Arabidopsis thaliana: one gene and its partner. The protein of the gene in region 2 interacts with the protein of the main gene of each other region in a pairwise test. Each region holds a gene or a part of one and is shown on either strand. Other genes may lie near its edges.

Evidence for each region.
Region 1: the proteins of AT3G05070 (region 2) and AT1G57540 interact in a protein complementation assay, tested with the Arabidopsis thaliana proteins (one large-scale study listed by BioGRID).

The regions. Positions count from the first base shown.
Region 1 is NC_003070.9:21,309,331-21,313,417, forward strand, and holds AT1G57540 (40S ribosomal protein), read right to left. Parts: upstream 2,192-4,087; 5' UTR 2,083-2,191; exon of another isoform or gene 1,892-2,082; 5' UTR 1,886-1,891; coding exon 1,738-1,885; intron 1,312-1,737; coding exon 1,148-1,311; 3' UTR 565-1,147; downstream 1-564. Other genes in the region: AT1G57550 (Low temperature and salt responsive protein family), read right to left, coding at 3,211-3,294, 3,405-3,479.
Region 2 is NC_003074.8:1,414,344-1,418,553, reverse strand, and holds AT3G05070 (Cwf18 pre-mRNA splicing factor), read right to left. Parts: upstream 2,480-4,210; 5' UTR 2,320-2,479; intron 2,084-2,319; 5' UTR 2,075-2,083; coding exon 1,947-2,074; intron 1,650-1,946; coding exon 1,517-1,649; intron 1,401-1,516; coding exon 1,286-1,400; intron 1,080-1,285; coding exon 1,021-1,079; 3' UTR 712-1,020; downstream 1-711. Other genes in the region: AT3G05080 (uncharacterized protein), read right to left, coding at 409-516; AT3G05060 (NOP56-like pre RNA processing ribonucleoprotein), read left to right, coding at 2,990-3,070, 3,159-3,200, 3,294-3,473, 3,554-3,718, 3,925-4,125.

The DNA of each region.
Region 1 (4,087 bases), on a different chromosome or scaffold from region 2:
GTATATTCTAAAGTACTGCAAAATCATTGTGTTCATATATTGTTATAATTTTACACATGTATCAAATGCAATAGTACAGTTCGACCTTCGCTCAGTTGGTAGACAGGAGGTTGTTTCTTTGCGCCAAGAACTGTGCAAAAACCACATGTGGATGGATCTTTTGGTTTTGTAGTCTGCCTAGTCAATGGTTCAAACATCATAAGGTGTCAAGTATAGTGAAAGTAACCTCTGACATTTCCACTCATTCCCTATAACAAACTTGGCATGTAACGTAACTTAACCTTTTACCAAAAAAAAAAAACTTGACATGTATGCATTTCTCTTATTGAGTTCTCTTTTGATAACGATTTTGTTGTAATACTCTTGTCAAAGAACACTGAAAATGGAATGAAACAAGCTTTAGAAAATAAGATCTGACCCTACCGGATTCAAACTATTGACCTAAGGATGTTCTGCTTCAACTATTGTTTTCATTCGAAATGCAAAGAAACAACCTCCGTTCCAAAAAGCTAGATCTTTGGCCTCCATAGCTTGCAGAATTCACTTGATTAAGTTATGTTCTCCATGACATTATAATACCACAGGCTTATATGCTGTGTCTATATGACAATATCACTGAAATCCTAGCTCTTTACTCACATTCAAAACACATTGATGTCGATTATAATTAATTAATTAATTATGCTCGAGAAATGGTAGCATTAGGTTTGTTGGTGATCAAACATATTCCTACACATATTTAACTAGCAGGCATCTCCATGAAGTCACAACCTCGGTGTGGATATTCCACCTATGACTAGTTTGAGGGGATAGTGAGACCCAACCCTCCAAATAAATCCAAAGGTCTTCCCTTCGACAGCAAAAGCTTTAGAAAGCTAAACACTCTCCCAAAAGAGTGTGACCAATGGCCAATTACACTACACTCATAATCAAACACACACGAAAATGAGAGAGGAGCATAGGATGATACTCTTAACTCTATCAACCTAAAGGCTATATGAAAAAATACACCATAATTTCTAAAGGAAACAAAAAGTGACAGAATTTGGTAGTATTATAAATAGTTACCTAAATTCATGTACTGCAAGAAAATGTACAGAAGATGAGGTCCATACACATCATAGGTAAAGCCAGATTATGATGGGGTTTAAGGGAGTGAAGCTTGAGGGGTTTTGATGTTATCATATGCAGCAATGTTTTGTGGTTCACATTCAGGGCTGAAGAGACGGACAAGCATTGCAGTTGATGTGCTTACGGACAAAGCACCACACCCAGCCCACCGCAGACTCCTTGGCACTGTGATCCTTGGACCTACACATTTCCCAAAGAAAACATTTGCTTTTATAACCGTTCTATCTTAGAATTGACTCAACTATTCTATTCTACGTTCCTTTTACTCTTAAAACCACATAAACAACAAACCAACCCCAAGAATCATTTTTCATGACAATAGGAATCAAAGAACAAGTGTATTGCTTCCCAAAACGTGTAAAGATCCAATCTTTCACCACATCAAACTATTCAATCAAAGCTCCTTTTGGATTCATTTTTCTCATAAGAAACGGATACTACAGAACAGAAAACAGAATGGTAATACGCATTGGTATGTTTTCATAAGGCTACAAGAAATCTTTCTAACAATCAATTATGCAGAGCACTGGATTCAATAGCTATATGGAGAACAACCTTTTGATGGAAACGCAAATCACTGATTAGAAAGGAGAGAACTTTGTTTACCATAGTGAAGTCTGCAAAGAACCCAGAAACCAAGAGCTCCACCAACAGTGAAAATGGCAGCTGTTTGTTTCATCAGTCTTGAACATGGCTTAGCATCTGATCTCATCAGATCTCCTTCTGACCATCCTAACTTCTGCCTTAACGCCATTTCTCTCTGTAATAACAACACCAAATTAATTTAAGTATAAGAGAAACGAAACTATTCGGTTTTGTGATTAAGATATTCACTGAGGCATTTCATCGAGCAGTATAAGGGCAACTTCAAAAACGAGCAACAGATATAATAACTCTATATGGGTTAAGATCTAAGCAGTAAAAAAGAGAGCAGAATTGGTACATAAATACCAGAAGCAAAAGCAATCTCTGTCGTTACCGGTGATGCGTAGTTTCTTTGGCTGTGTCGCCGTCGAGCTTGTCGGAAGAAGACGGAGAAGAGAATCAGATCCACGTGTCTAATTAGCTGATATTTGGAAGCCCAATAAGTGTTAACTATCTTAATGGGCCGGACACAATAATCGTCGGATCCAAGTGATACACGTGGCTCGGAAAAACAATTTGTTTTTTCAAGGAGTTGGTTTCTGTCTTTCTGAATTAATTAAAAGGTTTTTTTTTCGTTAATTAGTACGAACTAATTAAAAGTTAGTGTAAAGTAGATTCGAGGTTTCACCGAGGTACACTTAGAGAGTTAGAGGGGATTGCAAAAAACCTTAATTGACAGCATTAACAATGGATTAATAGACGCATCTATTATCGGAATTTACACCGATATCTTGGATATTTAAGGTTAGAAAATAATATTTTTCTCATTCGAATCGTTGTTGTAACCAAGTAGCTCATAATTTTTTTCATTATGGGAGAGCATTGACTATACCAATTGATCCTCTTTGGTAAGATGGGACGATTTCAATAGATTTTGTTTACATTTTTTGCTTACCACTTTGAGGTAAAGAATTTGTATATGCAGGGATTATTGGGAACGTCTTCATGGGAGCCTATACCACACGGTATTCGATTCAAGCAATCTTCAAATCGGAATTGCAGAAGCTATATAAAATTATAAATGTATGTACACAGGTTTATATTTATCGTTATACGCATAAGTAAACTGTGTGTATCGATGACTCCATGTAATATCTCTATCAGAACTTTATAGTTCCTAATGGTACTAATAATTTGATCACTCTTTAGATGTAGTATTACTACAATTCAAAATTTATATCACGCATATAATAATATCATCAATCTTCCAAATCTGTTTATGATCCGTAAAATGTATCCATAACCTCTGCAAACTAGAACAACAGCAATTTGGAAACTGCTGGAATTTACATACATCTAACATAGCAAAAAGTTTGCTAGATTACAAAACTGATTCCTTAAATACAACATAAAAAATCTAAAAAAGCAAACATTGTTGGAAAAAGAAAAAGTTATAAAATAAAAAAAGGATCCAGTGTTTTTGATTGGTTATTCCTACTTGGTGAGAACGTAGATGGCATATATCAGTCCGGGGATAAAAGCGAATAACGTTAGAAGCAAACAGACCCAAAACTCCAACTGCAAACACATATACAAAGAAACAAAAAAACAAGAGATTTGATCTTACTTTGACCATTAATGTCAAATGTGTCATATATTTTTATGATTTATGAATGAAAAAAATTTACCCCAAGGCCATATCTGAGGAACACACCAACAGGAGGTATGAAGATTGCACAAAGAACCTCAAGGAAGCTACCCATTTTTTTCTTCTGTAATTTTATGTTTTTTTTATATGTTTTTTTATGTTTTTTTTTGTTTTTCTGTTTCTTAGTTTTGAACTTTGTTTTATTTCTTCTTACGTGTTCATTTCCATTTATGAACTTTGTAAAAGAACAAGAAAATAGAATTAGTGGTTACGTTAAATAAGGGAAGAAACTGAGTTTGATTGTGTAACGTCCTCTGCTTGTTCCTAAAATGAAGGAGCTCCACTTCAACACAAACAACACAACCCTTTGCGTTTTGACGCAACCTTCCGTTGTTCATCGGTTGGAAACAAAAAAATGGGATGAACACAAATAAGAAGTCGAATAACTTAAAAATAAAATGTTTTGTTTTTGGGCAAAGAAATTAAAATGTTACAATCATAATGTCTGTTACAAAAATAAAATTAAATTTCATGGATTACAAATATATATAGGCCATTAGTTTGTATTAGTATCATCTTATGTAGATAAAATGTTTGCTTTTAACTCAAGTGTAAACATAATTTTTAGTGATTTTTATCAAGTTTTTTTTCTTTTACTCAAGTTTTTTTTCCAAACATGTAAATATTCAATTATGTAAGTTTTAATCTACTTAACTTATCTAT
Region 2 (4,210 bases):
GAAAAAGGTGAAAACTTGTGGTAATGCATTATGTTGGTGTGTTGTCAAGATAAAATTTATTGAGCGGCTCCATCTACTTGACAGTTTTTACTTGGGAAGGTGATTTCATATTAGGTATTTTCATCAGAAAGAAAAATAGAGATACTTGAGTTGGTAGATTTTTCATGTGAGCTTTTTCACAACTCCTGATACCAAAGCCTTTGTAGATTGCTCTTTTTGGTTTGAAACAAATGATAGGAACAATAATGTTATGTTGATCGAAGCCTTGAAATTGAATATCACCATATTCATTTATTGCTCTACAGATTGGGATCTGTCTGCTGGTGCATTTAATCACATGGAAGTCTATAGCTTTTCATTGCTTGTTCCTTCGAAAAGCATATATCTTGGTTTACCTTGGCCTAGTGTTTACTTAGCTTCTCTTCTTTGGAGCTTGGATTCATGAGAAGTGGGCACCAATAAAGGTCCAAGATATTTAGGTGAGATGGTGTCGAAAGCTTTACTGAATTTGTACATTAGGTTTGAGCTTTGGAAAACAAAAAAACTTAGTATCTATTTTTGATTGTTCGGTATTAATAAACAAATATTGTATCTAAACTCCATCATCCCACTGTGGAAGCAACATGCCGAGAAGAAAGGTCTTAGAAGCTCTCTGTGTTGTTTTCCCAGACTCCAAACTAAACCCGTCTAGCCCGAATCAAAACTTTGGTTTCTAGTTTGGGATGTCTTTATCAAACCACAGTAAATCGAATCAAACCAAAAAACGCAGTTCCATTAATGATCAAACTAGATTACCACCGATGTTGAACCAAATTTAGAGAAAAACCGGACCGCACTTAATTCTACTCGGAAATAAATTGCGACTTTCTTTGATTCACACAAGAAGATAAACCTACTATGTCTATGCCAATGGCTGTAGGATTTTACATGGTCTACTCACTTCGAATGCTTTAACAGTTAAACAAAATCGAGTAGAATATACTGTTCAGTGGTGGCTTTCTTTGATGACGTCGTTGGGTTTCAACTTTCTATGGTGTTACCATCAGCTTCAGCCATCTCACGTTCTTTCTCTTGCTCCTCTGCAATTAGATGATGAAAGTGCATGTGTTAGTTCCATAATAAACAAACACCAACAGATCACTCTATTTTGGACTTCTATGATTTGGTATCATACTACCAACAGATTCAGTGAAATGTTACTCACTTACTCACGAACCACAGACTAATGTCTTAATTATCAAGCTTACATAGAAGATATCAGTATGTAGATACAGTTGCCACTTACCCATGAGTTTATGCATTGCCTTTTGAGTCCGCCTTTCGAGCTTATCAAGCTTCTTCTGCACATCTCTTCGGAGGTCCCAGTTTGGCTTCTTTGGAGCGATGTTAACAAATGGGTCCTACAATGATAACATTTTTTGTAAGCTTAAGAGGCACAAGTAAAGGAAACAACAATGCTAAACAGAGTCGCTTTTGGTGATCCTTGTACAGAGAAAAGAAAAACTGTCACACACACCTCTTTCTTCTCTACAGCAGGTGGAAGTGCAACGATCGGATCTTCGAATTTGGGTAGCTCTGGTGGCGCTAGTTTACCATCCTGAAGCTCCTTAGCTTGGGGAACATAGTTTCTAAACTTCATGGCTGGACCACTGTAAAATCAAAGACAATTCATATGAATAAAAAGGGAATCTACCTCGAATAATCAATCAACAAAACCAACCACCTAAGCAAAGTATACACAACAATGCAACTTGAAATTGGAAAAAATTGTTAGGTAACAGATGCTGCAAGAGCACCATTATTGATTCTCTCACAAACAGTGATAGTAAAGGCGAGAAGCAAAGCACAAGAGAAGCTCCTAGTTATGCTAAAGCCAACACACAACATTAACAACTCCATGTGCTAGTCAAGACAAACAAAATAAGCAAAGAACAAAGCAAACTCACTCTTCTTCGACAGCTTCATCCTCTCCGTCTTCCTTGGTCTCAGACAGTTCCTGAGCTGCCCTTAGAGCTTTAAGTGCCTCTTTACGAGCAGCAGCTTTTTGTTCAATCGATTCATCTTCACTAGCCATTATAACTTCCTGCAAAATTAGGTTATCGACGTAAACATCGAACACTAGCCCAGCTTCTTCAAACACTAATCACACAACTACAGAGTATAACCCTAAACAACACGCAAAATCGTGATTTTCAGGATCCACGGAACTAATCAGATGAAGTTTTAGCAAAATCAGAGCTATACTATGAAATAAAGTTGAAGAGAAGTATGGAAAACGCTATCTACCCAGAAAATCAACGAGAAAATTTGAAACCGTACCTTGAAGCTTCGAGCTCTATAAATTCGAGACAAATTTGTTGAATACCACAGAGAAACAAAGGGATTAAAAAAGAAAAACTATTAAGGGGGAAGAGAACAATAAAACGCCCACGTATTAATATTATAAACGGGCCAGATTAAAATATCCATTCAGTCAGGCCCATTAATCTTAAAACCTAAACCCTAACTATGGAAGTTATAGAAATACCCCTTACAATACGCGGCGTTTTAAGAAGGCTCGGCTCGTCTTTAACTGCTATAACAACACACTCTTAAAACCCTAAGTGATTGTCCGTCTCCGTCTTCATCTTCTTCCTCTCTCTCACGCAGCTGCTTTGATTAACTCTTCAGGTATTTAATATCTCTCATCTTCTCTCTTCACGGTGTTTCACTTTTCCATTCTTGCTGGAGATTGTGGAGTTTCGAATACTCATACTCGGACAGAGTTTTAAGGCTATTGTAGTTTATCTCTCTGTTTTTTCTTCTCCTGTATTTCTTATGTGATCTAAAAGTAGGATTAGGGTTTATATGGAATGCTGTTTCTCGCTAGTTTTTAATCTCAAAACGAACTTTTAGTTTAATTAGTGTGACTCGGACACGTATCTTTACTGTTCTGAGTTAAGTGTTGTCTTAATTTTCTCTTCAGGTCCAGCTTAAGAGTTTTGTGAAGATGGTCTTAGTGCTATACGAGACAGCGGCGGGGTTTGCCCTCTTTAAAGTTAAAGATGAAGGAAAGATGGCTAACGTCGAGGTGAGTTCTCTTCATTCTTTTGTACTCTCTTTGCTTATCCTTAAGGCTCTAAAAGTATTCATGGATTATTTTTTATTTTTTTTTGCAGGATTTGTGTAAAGAGTTCGACACTCCAGACTCAGCACGAAAGGTAATTTTTTTGCTTCTTCATCAAGTGTGGTTTCAGAACATCTAAAATTAGATTTAGTGTTGAGTTTCTCATATGTTTTTATTGGTGTACCAGATGGTTAAGCTAAAAGCTTTTGAGAAGTTTGACAATACATCTGAAGCTCTCGAAGCTGTGGCTAAATTGCTGGAGGGAGCTCCAAGCAAAGGTCTGCGCAAGTTTTTGAAAGCTAATTGTCAAGGTGAAACCTTGGCTGTGGCTGATTCAAAGCTTGGGAATGTTATCAAGGAGAAACTGGTTTGTAATTCCCATCATTACACCCATATTCCTGTCTGCTCTGTGTTTTGTTTCTAATGAAAGTTCTTAATTTCATACAGAAAATTGATTGCATTCACAACAATGCTGTTATGGAGCTTCTACGTGGTGTTAGAAGTCAGTTTACTGAACTCATATCTGGGTTGGGTGATCAAGACTTGGCTCCTATGAGCTTGGGTCTGTCTCACAGTCTCGCCAGATATAAGCTAAAGTTTAGTTCTGACAAGGTATCTTCGGTTCCTGACTAATTGTATTGGTCTTTTTATTTGGTGATATGATATGTGAAGTATATGAATTTGTTAATTGATCGAAGCTAACTTGTGTTAAATTATGGAACTTCTGTATTGAACTAGCCTTTGATTGTCCGACATTAAACGTTTCCTGTGTTTGTTTTTGCTTCTCTTGCATCTCCTAACTGTTTAGTTTTTGTCAGGTGGATACCATGATTATCCAAGCTATTGGTCTGCTTGATGATCTTGACAAAGAGCTGAACACATACGCCATGAGGGTTAGAGAATGGTATGGATGGCATTTTCCCGAGCTTGCTAAGATCATATCAGACAATATCCTATATGCCAAATCTGTTAAATTGATGGGAAACCGAGTTAATGCTGCTAAGCTAGACTTCTCCGAGGTAACTTTCAATTTTGTAAACTGTGTAGAGGCTTCCATGAACAAACGCCTTGATTAACGACCTAATATTCTCCTGTTTCTGGTTT